Oryzias latipes: one gene and its partners. The protein of the gene in region 2 binds, or shares a complex with, the protein of the main gene of each other region. Links are inferred from orthologs where the notes say so. Each region holds a gene or a part of one and is shown on either strand. Other genes may lie near its edges. The genes, in order: ccna2, samhd1 and dcaf1.

Region 1 (4,258 bases), on a different chromosome or scaffold from region 2:
ACATTCTCAGCTTAGAGGACAAATGCTACACATTTCTGAAACCATGTTCCTCCCTGCAGTGTCACTGAAGTGAGTAACAGGCCAAGGAGTTTACCATCAACAGTGAAGATGCTGGAGTCTGGAGCCGCCTTTTGTTTCCATGCAACTTTTCAGAATTATCCGATCATCTTAACACCTCTAATCTCGCGGTACAACTAAAGACACATTTTTAGCCATCATTTAATTGAATTTAAGGTTACTTATTGTAAAAAAAAAAAAATGTGGTTGGGAAGTTTTTACTGCTAGTTGAGCTCTCAGAAATTGTCAGATTCCTCTGATACTTTTTTAGAGTAATACAAATATTTTCCAACGATCCTTAAATAGAAGTACACAAAATCAAAGTACGGCAGCTCACCTGGAGGCCTTGTACTTCTCGCGGACAGACTGCTGGGCGTGCTGAGCGGCGCTCAGGAACATCTTGTGAAGGTCTTCGATGCACGGCATCAGGTCTACTAGCATGTAGCCCGTCATCTCTGCCAAGGATTTGGGCTGGAGCAGAGCAGAGAAAATGTCAGTGAACCAATTTTACATTTCCACAACCACCATGAGCCTCAGCCTGGCATGTGACAAACAGCCCCACGTCCCCATAAAGCATCTCAAACCAAAACATTCAAGCGTATAACCCTTCACATTCCTAACTTAAGTTGGAGGGAAATAGTCTCACCCAAGAGCCGCCGGTCACTGCATGGTTGGCGAGGATGTAGGCTGCAGCCGCCGTCTGCGATGGCAGGTACTTCAAGAAGGGGTCTGAATCTATCAAACTCAACTCCCCGAGGTACTGAGGACAGATCAAGCACCGTCAGAGCACATCCATATGCTTCTGTAGACCAACACGACGGACCACATGAACACTCACCATTGCCAAGCTTTCCACCTGTTTGTTGACGCCGTGGTGGCAGAAGTACTGAGTAAGAAACTGGTTTATCGTTGGTGCTGCCAGATCAAATGACAGGACTTTGAGCACCAGATGCTCCATCCTCAACACCTGCTTCTTGGTGTACGTGTCATCTGTGATGTAGACGAACTCTGCCACCTCAGGAGGGTAAATCTCTTCGAATTTCCTGCACATACAAAGTCATTCAACCTTTCCGAACCAAACTAGTCGTGTTTTCCTGGGCAGGATAATTGGCACATACGCAGCCAGCAGCATGGCAGCAGTCCCAACAAGCTGGAGTTTGCCCCTCAGGACGGACATCGACGAGAGGAAGCGATCAATGTAGTTAACGGCCAGATACAGCGTTTCATTGTGGAGCTTGTACTCTTCTCCAACCTCCACCAACCAGTCCACCAGGATGGCCCTCATGCTGTTTGTGATGTCAGGCTGCTTCTTCATGTAGCCGGCCTTCGGTCTGGTTTTCACCTGAAACAAATACCCGATTGTTGTAGCAGAGATGACAGGAGGGGAAGAAAGGAAAAGGAGAGTCTCTCACCTCCATCTCCCTCAGGTACAAATGAATTTCAGCTGCATATTCTGGGACTTCGTTGACATTAACTTGTTTGTCGTCCACCTCCACCAACGACATGTCCATGGGAGAATCTGAAAGTCATTTAGTGCACAGATGATGACACCTCACTTTGACACCAAAGCCAACATCGGTCATTACTAAACAAGCCAAGATTCTACAGCAGCCCACCAAAGCCGGCTTCCACAACCAACGGGACATCGAGGGCAGCCAGGGGCTGTCGGCATGTCAGGGCGTTGTGGACGGCCACAGGAGAGCGAGGGGCCGGGGCCCTGGCTCTGAGGGCCTCAGACACGGTCTTCTTGGTGCAGGCGCCATCAGGCTCATCCATGTGGATCTGGAAGGCCGGCTGCTTGACAGGCGGCTTTTCCAGGACGCTTTTCCCATAATCGTCAGCTTTACAGGATGAGGGTAGAGCAGAGTCCTGGAGGCAACAGAACACAAGAAAGGTGAGTTTCTGCTCTGAAGGCAAACAGCAGCAGATCTGCTTCAGAAGACAGAACAGTCTGTAAGGTAAACTAGGAGGAGTGAGGCTAAAATGGCGCACAGACTGAACATGAAACTACAAAGACCATCTCCAGAAGCAGATCTAAGACAGGTTCAGATGCTAAAGGCGAATGACTGTTATCACGGTGCTAGAACCGAGCCACAGCCGTGAGGAACCGGGAGCACAGCCGGATAACCGGCGGCTGGCGCCCCGCCGCGGAGCGGGCCGTGCGGCGGCATGCTACCTGCTTTGCGCCGCGGAGGCTTTGGGTTTTGTTCCGCTGGTGGTTCTGCAGAGCTCCCAGCACGGTTCTGTTGGCAGCCTGTTTGGGCGGAAGGTTTTCGCTGGCTGCAGGCCGGGCTTTGATGGCGCCTCTCAGCCTGCTGGACGGCATGTTCTCCTGGTTTTGGAGCTCACTCGCCGCGCTTCGGTTTGCCGCCGACATGTTTCCTGCAACAAACACTCGCTGCTGGCTTTGACCTTTGAACTCTTCGGGACCCCTCGTCGTTCGTAGCGGGGATCGGGTCGGGTGCTAGCCTGAAGTGGAGCCGAATAAACTCAAAACTAAACAGTTGAGATGGCAACGAAAAAACAGAACAGCAGCGCCACAGCAGAGGAGCGCGTGAGCGGTAGAGCGATTCCAAAGCGCGGGACACAAACACACTACGGTTCCATAGTCACGCGGGTCCACAGCACAACCGACCAGGACACGAACCACTAGCAAGCAGACATTTAGGAACAGGGTTCTGCTTTCTCTCAGTTCAAGTAGCCCGCGAGGATTGAACCAACCAATCACAAAGCGCACAGATGGTGACGCTGCAAAACTACTGGAGCCGCAGTGGTACAAATGTCTTGATTGCAAATTCAAAACCGGTTGGACCCGTTTGTCTGCAGCGGCACAGAGCAGCAAACGAAAGGAAACGTCCCTGCTCAAGCAGACGGCAGTCAGGACGACGTCCGTGGATTTTAACCGTCTGCAGACTCTTCTGAGCGTGTTTATTTACAAAAACTAAAATAAAACGACACTTTCTGAAGTGTTGTCAGATTTCAAGTGCTTATGAGCTTATTTGACCTGCAGTTAGTAAGGATTCATTTAAAGGAAAAGGTTCTCCAAATATAATACACTGGATTCTCTGTTTAAGGGTTTAATGGCCATTATAATAAAAATAAAGAAGAACAAAGCACGTCACTGAAGATGTGTTCAGTCATGTGTTGTGGGGATTGAACAGGCAATGAAAAACACCACAAAACATTTCTACATAGTTTAATATGGTCTGATCTTTAAAAAATCATATGACATCTTTTGACTATTTCATTTTTAAATAGTTTCTCACAGAGATTTTCATATAGAAATGCAGTCCGTTTAGCTTTGATTTCTGTCTATGAACCTGTGATATGTTATTAAATGAAAAAGAGGAGTCTGTATTAACTACCTGGAGGAATTTATAAAGTCTGGATTTAAGCAGAAATAATTGTGGATTGTGAAACCGACAGCTTCTGAAAACAGCATGGCACCATGACACAAACTATAACTGTCATTACATAAAGATGCAACATAGAAGCAGAACACGTGAATGGATTTTATTTCATCCAACCTCAAACATCATTGAAAAATTCTAACAGAGAGTTTAGATCATAGTTATCCAGAATCTCCAACAGAGATGACACCTTTGTTTTCACATTCTGGCCTTTGAACTTGAATTTATCAATGAAGAGGTCAGTGATCATTCCTGCAGGAAAAACAAATATAAAGAAATAGAAATTAGTGTCAGGAGACCAACAGAAATTAAGATAAATGTGGCTTCTGCAATGTACCATAAAGCCTCTCCAGATGTGCTGGCTGCTTCTTGTATTCCTCCAGAAGACTGGCAGATTCATCCAAGATGCTTCGATACTCTGGTATGAGAAAACTGGCGTTTCCCTCATGAACCTGAAGCTCCTGACAATTCCAGAAGAGATGTGGGTGAAGTGAATGTACAGAACCTCAAGTACATCACCAAACATCAAACCTTCACAGAGAAGAGTCGCTGGTTTCCTGATTTTAATTTCAATTCAGCAGAAAATAGGAATAAGACATCCTTCATTGTAGGAGCTATATATCCCATTGTGATATATTATTTTGCCTATTTCAAATACAATTATATACATTCTTTAAAGTGCATTTCTCGCTTATTTTCCATCTCTCTCTGTTTAAATGAAGCTTCCATCTGTCACTCCATTTCAAAGTGGGCAAACCTACATAATCAGCAAAGGATCAAGTCCGTTTTTC
Region 2 (4,094 bases):
TCTTTTACAAGAGCCAATAAAAAGAAAGAGAGTAAATTTGTGAGTTTGTCTCCAACATGAAGAAAAGATTTCGTCTCATACAAAGATTCTAGGAATATTAAACATGAACATTCATGTGATGCAAAGTTAAACTGTTGTTAGGGTGGTGCTAGTGTTTTATCAATGACTCATCAGTGGCTCCAGGCGCTTTCCGTTTGTCTCTTAAAAACAACTTTTGCAAACACTAAACATTTCTGCAAAACTATTTCCCAGAAATTATAGCTAAACCATTAAAAAGAATTTAGTCAAAAGATCTGTTAATTGAGTTAGCATGGAAACTTCAAATATTGGCTGAAAGATTTGTGGTTGTAGAAGCATAGCTATTTATTTTCTGCATCAATATTTATTGTCATTTGCAAAGCACCCCTGTCTGCACTGGTGTGTTGATTTTGTGAGTCACAACACAACTAAGATAAGATAAAGCTCGTCTCTAAAAGGAGTTGAAACAAGGTGACTTTCCTACCTTCCAATTAACTTGTGGACAGGCTTTAGGGATAAACATGCCATCAAACATGTGGGAAAAGGGTCCGTGTCCTGAAATACAGGTCAACAGGACAAATGTAAACAGAATTAACAACATCATGAGCACCTTGGTGCACAAACAAACAGAACAGTTTGTAAATGAATTTGTTCAATGAATTGATCAGGTTTTACTTTTATAAAACGTGACTTTGTTTGTCTTTATTTTTGTGTGCTAAAACAGAAAAGTTTTGATGGCTTTGAAAATAACTAATTTGCTGTTGCATCTAGCAAAAATAATAATAATAAAAATATCTGGAATAATTTTTCTGCAGATTCTCTACTCACCCAGATCATGGCAGAGCCCTGCAATCTGCACACATAGGATGTCTCTATGACAGATCAGCAGTTCAGGCTGTCTTTCATTTAGAGCCTGAACAAGTTGTCCAGCCAAATAACCCACACTGTGTGAAGAAAGAAAGAAAAACACTTTCATAAATTAGGATTAAAAACAAACAATTATTTAAAAGGAATTCCCTGGTTTGTCATATAATTCTCTAGGCAAAGGCCATATCCATAACTTACTGAAGGCACTAACCCAGACTGTCTAAACCCTAATCCTGATATGTTTTTACTCCTTAGTTGTATATAACAGCAAATCAAGGTGTGAAAAACCCTGATTCATTCCAATCTAATTCTGTTTGTACCCAATACTGTGTTCAAAGCGGTTGTGGGATGCTCCAGGGAAAACAAAGTATGTCCCTCCAAGCTGCTTGATATTGCGTAGTCTCTGGAACTGTGGCGTGTCAATAATTTTGATGAGGAGGGGGTGCAACTCCACATGGCCGTGAATGGGGTCATTGAACACCTGGAACAAAACAAAACAACAAGCTTGATCCAAAACTGGAGCTAAATCAAATTAGTATAGAAAACAACTCATATCCTCATTTTTGATGTATGAAGCTACGTTCACATCGCCCTCGGCAACACACGTTCAAGTACTTCCAATAAAAAGCCTATGTAAATACGCATTCCGGGTTCTGCATTCAAAGCTCTCGCTCTATCTATGCAAGCTTTTACAATCACTTTGGGCCCAAAAACAAAATGTGTGGCCATGGAATGTGCGTTGCAAGTAAACGGTAAACCAGATCAAATTTTGACCTGCACTTGGCAGTGACTTATGGATATGGTTTATCTGATGAACCCAGACACACCAACAAGCCTGACGACGTTTGTTTGTCAAATAAATATAAAAACCAAGGCTACTCTCCTGACATGATGGTAATCCATATCTGCCATTGTCAGGATGCTAGAAATGAACCAAACCTTTTCCCGTTTGTGCCCAAATCGCTTGATTTAGGCCACTGTGACATTTCACACCAAGATTTTCCCAGCAGCAGGTGGTGAACATGCGCTAGTAAACAGTAGGAAAAAAAGAAGAACAAGCCCCTCCCTGTTTGTCCAGTGTGAACACCAAGGGCTAATGCACGCTGAAGAACATGCATGTAGTGTGTTTTTGAACCTGCATCAAATGCCAGGTGTGTGCATAGCTTCAGAGAACATAACTCACAAGCATAATAAGATTTCTCTATTGGGGTTGAACATCATGGCAAATACTTTTTTTCCTCAGAGGTCACCAAAAGGTGAAAGTGAACTCATTTGACCTCAAAGCCCATACGCCTTTACCTTGTTCGCCTCTGTGTCTATTTGCCAGAGTTTCCTGAGGCTGTGCAGGATGCGCAGGCGGACACCAAGACACCTGAAAGGTTTGATCACACAGGTATGAACCAGAGAAACACTGTGACAAATGATGGAAGGGAAAGGGGTCTAAAAGATAAGCATTTCTCTCTCTTTACACTTACTCTATGCCTATTGTTTTCAGGTCTGCATCATTGAGATAGCGCAGTCCAACGCCTGTGATTCTTTGTGCTTAACACAGCAAAACAAACAAATAAAAGAAAAGTAACAACAACATGGGTGTACACATACTGAAGCTGCAGGTACACAGCACACCTCACCTCTAAATGCATTCTCCCATTCCCCGAGACCTTCCTTTCGCAGAAACTGACAGGTTTCCTCCACTCCCCACTGCAGCAGGTCAGACCCCGGCAGCAGGACCGGCGACAGCCTCTTCTTCTCTGGGGTTTTGAAGCGGTCGTTGGAGCTCAACACGGAGTCCAGCGGTCGCTTTCTGTTCTCCATGCAGAAAAAGGCCAAAGGACAGCTAATCGACGGCTAATAGGGCGAATACAACGTCGCAAACAACGTGTCTTGAGACGATTTCAACGACTGATCTACCGGTGTCCAACGCAGCACGCCAAACAGAAAGATCCCGGGTTTTGTGTTTCCTCTAAATGCATCACTTCATGAACCGGGCTTTCCGGTTCTGTTTTTCACAATAAAACTATCGTTAGAATTTTCAATTGAGTGTTGAGCTAAAATTATGTCTCAAGAAAACATTGGGACATTTGAGTTTTAAACATTTTATATGAAACTCTGTTAGTAGCGACTGTTGTCTTAATTGGTATGTTATTGCTTCAGAGCATAAAACATGAAAACACTGCCTTATCTTAATTTGCAGTCAAAAAAAAGTCACAATTTTGTGCTTTAAATTTGTTTTGAATTAGAGACAGGACATAATAATGCTGGAAAATACAGAGACAATGCCTTACTATTGATAAATTGAGCAATCCCAAAAAATAACATCACCAGGGAGAAACAATGTTCAAGATCAGGAACTACCATAGGTCTGACAGACATTGGTCTGTGTGGGAGCTACAATTATAAGTGCTGTGCTTCATCTGGAAGAATGGTTCCTGCAAATTCCAAACTTTCAGACCTCAAGTTAAGAGGGGAGAGAAAGACATACAATCACAGGGTAAATTGGGAATAAAAATATCTAAAATCAATGGATCAGTGACCCTATTCAATGTATATCCAGGGTATACCCATTGACAGTAATAGAGATTTGGACTGCCATATTTTCTTATTAACCAAACAACTGTGGCTTTATCTTGACAGGATACGGGGTAGATAGAAGGCTTACTTCCGGTACATTTGCATCTTTTTATCCGCGCTCGCGCTTTCAGTGACGTGAGGAGGGCGGAGCAAGATTACTTCTGCTTTTGGAGTCTTAAATCGCGCATGGCAGTAAATGGAGCGTTGTCACCGTAAATTCTCGCTAATTTGTAAATCTGTTTTCCTCTAAATAAAATACACGGATTTCCTATGAACACTATAAAGAAACCGAAAGATGAAAAAAGAAATAAAATATTGGCAGGCTGTTTCAGCATCCGGCATTAGAGAAAAAACAAAACAAAAACAACGAGCACTTATAAAAAATTAAAAACAGTGTAGTTTGATTTACATACAGGGACTGCTGCATAATCCGGAACGTAGATTAAACAACTGATGCCAATTTAAAACGACAGATGCAATCAGATGCTTCTTAAATTTAAAGAAGCAAAATGACAAAATGCACAGACATTTTACTTTAACTTTATCTTGACAAAACCAAACAAGAGCAAAAGTTGGACTACTCTCTATAAATATGTGTATAAAAAATCAAGGTCTGCAGGTAAGGTAGTGCCTCCCTT
Region 3 (3,250 bases), about 1.6 Mb from region 2:
AAAGACTGCTATCTGGCTGTGATTGAGGTAAATTCTATATTTTGAAAGAATCTTTTTGGCTTGCCTAAGTTTCCAAAAATAAGCTATGTTATTGTCTTTTCAATAGAACCAAGACTCTGTCAACACTGACACTGTGTGTCGCCTCTATGAAGTCGGCCGGCAGCGACTTGCAGAAGAAGAGGAGGAGGATGAGGAAGATCAGGTTAAACTTTTTTTTTTTCATAAAATCTGAACTGAGAAGCAGATCTTATACCTGCACTTTATGACTGAAACTTTAGTTTTGTTTTTTGTGTTGCAGGAGGATGATGACCAAGACGAAGACGATGACGATGATGACGATTCTGATGATGACGTTGATACGGATCCTCTCATTGCTGAGCTGGAAAACGAGAATGGAGGAGAGGATGATGACGATGACGGCAATGAAGCATTATCTCCATCCGATGAGGAAGTCGCACGCCTTCTTGAAGACGATGGAGACGTCGAGGAGGACGATGACGAGGATGAGGATGAAGAGGACGATGATAATGAAGAGGATGACTCTGACAATGACGATGCAGACCTGGAAGGTGACAATGGTGAGTATAAGTGAGCAGTCTACACATTTCTATAAGTAGTTTTTACAAGTTGCTGGAAGAACTCAGTTTTATTGACTCAAACAGAATTTTCTGTACTTGAGCGTGAATTACATATTTTCTATAAAGTAAACCACAACCTTTGATAACTTATATTATTAGGGCCACTGTCTTTCATCTAATCAGTGGTGCTCATCAATGCATTAATGAAATGAACTGCCAGTTTTCTTTTGCTATTTGTATCACAGCAAAAGAATAAAAAAGAACAGTTTGAATGATCTGGCATAGATTTGACCTTAAACTCAACCACCTGATTGCTTCCACACAGCTGATTGTGGGGAATAATCGAGTCCTTCAGGAATGTTTTTCATAGAGCTCCCTGAGGTGGATGTGCATTTATTTTCTGCTGCACTTTCAAAAAGGTTTTCATTTGGGAGTCATTCCTTTGTGTTTGGGTGCCTGTTATGGTGCCACATGATTCCAAAGTGGTAACTGCTGTTTAATTTTTAAGACTTGCAATTCAATTCATATTTGTCAGACACTTTGCCAAATAAAGAGAATTAATTTAAAAGCTACATAAACAGTTTTATTTCATATTCCTTCAGTAATAACACATTTTTTCCCAGTCAGAAAAACATGTTTCAAAATCTTTAGAGTAAAGCCTCATTGTTGCCTGTTTAACTTATTTTAAGAACAGTTTTAAAAAAAAACGTTAACCTAACCTTAAGCTTCCTCCAAAAAAAGGGTTTTGCTTTTTGAGTGACTATCTTCTATTTTTAAAAATAAAATTTGAATATTTCAGAAGTAAGTTTAAGAATAAAGACGCAAGTAAACCAAAGACCTGTATGAAAATAAAAAACGAATTAGAAAGCCTTCACGTTTGCTCTTCTAGTGTGATGCTCTGACCAAATGTTTGTTGTTTAATATCCAAATCTCCATTTGATCTGCTGCACCAACAGACAGCTCGGACAACTCCGATCTGGAGGATGACATCATCTTATCCCTAAATGAGTGAAGATACCCCCATCGTCCAGGACTGTGGGGTCCATGGAAAACCACAGTTTATTTGTCTTGATAATCTACAAAAGTCTCAAACACAGATGATCCTTGGTAGGAAAGAGCAGAGAAGAACATGGAGACATGGCATTGGGCAAAAATGATTGTAAAGTATATAACTTTCTATTAAAAATTGGTTTGATGTGTTTAAAAAGGCCACTATGTAGATGTAGTGAAAAAAGGTTTTAGAAGTTCTCACTTTATTGGCTTTTTAAAAAGCCAGTTTGTTTCAAATTGATTCATTCTCTCCATCTTTGAAGACACAAAGTATGGTTCTTCTCAACTGACTTTTCCTTTTTAATTCTCTACCCATCCTGACTGAAGGACAACATGTGAGTTGCAAGGCAAGTAGTTTGTCTGGGAAAAAATAAATAAAAAAAACAGCCCAACAACATCCGTGAATTAGGCAGCTGTAGGGATCTTAACACACGGGGCTCTTGATTGCCAAAGAGCCACTCAGCAGTTCCAATAATAGATGTTGTCTCCTGATTTTGTTATGTAAACAGAAGAATTGGATCAAGCTGTCACTCCAGCGAGTGCAGACATTGTAACAACACCAGTGACACAAGTTCACAGCCGTCCAGCAGGCAGCGGATGTCTTTAGCTCCTTACAATCTTATGGTTGAGCTCACAAAGTGATCCGACTTCCATGGATGCTCGCAGGGTTGGAAAAATGCAGGGTTTTGTGTGCTTGGAACCAGCACAGGTCCAGTTATTTAAATAAAGTTCAGAAAACTTTGTTTTATTTCTCAAATCTCATTGGTTATTGAAGTGAGTGGTTAATTAGCGGACTGATGGTTAAACCGTTTCAATTCTTGGAATATTGAGAAACTGTGATTAACGCTGCAAAAATATGCTGTGTGTGAATTTTTTTTTCTTTTTCTTTTTCCCCCCTGACATGTTGGATACTGTCATTTTTGAAAAAGCAAAGGCTTAGCACACGCACACTTTAACGCAGTGCAACATGGTATACTTTTTTGGTTCTCTTGTTTCTAGGATTTACTTTTCCCTTTTGGAGACCTTTGAGTTTCTCAACACATTTACTGTACAGGTTGTATGTATCTAAAGTATTTTTACTATAAATAAAACGGAACAATTTGTGCTTTGACTCCTGTGCTTTTTTTTGAAGAAGAGTGACCCATGTTTGCAGACAAATGTTAAATCTGTTTTTTAAGAGGAACAGTTCAAATACAGCAAAAGTTAAACACATTTTCTTATTATACAGTGTGATGTGATGATGCAACAAGGGGAGGCCAATTTATTTATACTATTATGCAATAAAGTTCCTTAGGCTTTTTCCATTGTGAATTTTAAAGACAAAACAAAAACAGATCATTTGAATGAATTAGTGCAAATCTAATGTTTGAAGGAGCATAGGGATAATTTCTACAATGGAATAGATGGTACCTGTTTATCAACATTGGACTCAGGTGATTCAAAAAGCTTTCAAAAATTCAAATTATACTCTGACATTGACATTGGTTTAACTAACTTGCTTTATTCCTATACATTTTAGTTCATAAATCCATCTTTTTTCCCCTCAAAAAATACAGTGCATTTATTTGCCTTGACAGTTGGATCACAAATGTTTTTTAACAACTTGGTTTTATTTTGAAAGT

What was found.
Region 1: the proteins of samhd1 (region 2) and ccna2 are in contact, whole or in part, in a cryo-EM structure (PDB 9HIW), measured with the Homo sapiens proteins. The link is inferred for Oryzias latipes from reciprocal best matches to the Homo sapiens genes SAMHD1 and CCNA2. Residues at the interface, in NP_056289.2 of Homo sapiens: Lys615, Ser616, Arg617, Val618, Gln619, Leu620, Phe621, Lys622; in NP_001228.2 of Homo sapiens: Met210, Ile213, Leu214, Trp217, Glu220, Val221, Glu224, Arg250, Leu253, Gln254, Tyr280, Ile281, Thr282, Asp283, Asp284, Thr285.
Region 3: the proteins of samhd1 (region 2) and dcaf1 are in contact, whole or in part, in a crystal structure (PDB 4CC9), measured with the Homo sapiens proteins. The link is inferred for Oryzias latipes from reciprocal best matches to the Homo sapiens genes SAMHD1 and DCAF1. Residues at the interface, in NP_056289.2 of Homo sapiens: Ser616, Arg617, Val618, Gln619, Lys622; in NP_001336097.1 of Homo sapiens: Asn1090, Glu1091, Asp1092, Thr1114, Gln1116, Asn1132.

The regions. Positions count from the first base shown.
Region 1 is NC_019868.2:207,561-211,818, reverse strand, and holds the start of ccna2 (cyclin-A2), read right to left. Parts: upstream 2,803-4,258; 5' UTR 2,435-2,802; coding exon 2,234-2,434; intron 1,927-2,233; coding exon 1,674-1,926; intron 1,577-1,673; coding exon 1,470-1,576; intron 1,400-1,469; coding exon 1,176-1,399; intron 1,101-1,175; coding exon 896-1,100; intron 818-895; coding exon 704-817; intron 529-703; coding exon 395-528; intron 1-394. Other genes in the region: bbs7 (Bardet-Biedl syndrome 7 protein), read right to left, coding at 3,586-3,719, 3,805-3,928. UniProt on the Homo sapiens protein: Cyclin which controls both the G1/S and the G2/M transition phases of the cell cycle. Functions through the formation of specific serine/threonine protein kinase holoenzyme complexes with the cyclin-dependent protein kinases CDK1 or CDK2.
Region 2 is NC_019865.2:14,692,171-14,696,264, reverse strand, and holds the start of samhd1 (deoxynucleoside triphosphate triphosphohydrolase SAMHD1), read right to left. Parts: upstream 2,861-4,094; 5' UTR 2,701-2,860; coding exon 2,517-2,700; intron 2,428-2,516; coding exon 2,361-2,427; intron 2,258-2,360; coding exon 2,185-2,257; intron 1,367-2,184; coding exon 1,206-1,366; intron 963-1,205; coding exon 847-962; intron 574-846; coding exon 503-573; intron 1-502.
Region 3 is NC_019865.2:16,270,535-16,273,784, reverse strand, and holds the end of dcaf1 (DDB1- and CUL4-associated factor 1), read left to right. Parts: coding exon 1-27; intron 28-106; coding exon 107-202; intron 203-298; coding exon 299-578; intron 579-1,534; coding exon 1,535-1,590; 3' UTR 1,591-2,739; downstream 2,740-3,250. UniProt on the Homo sapiens protein: Acts both as a substrate recognition component of E3 ubiquitin-protein ligase complexes and as an atypical serine/threonine-protein kinase, playing key roles in various processes such as cell cycle, telomerase regulation and histone modification.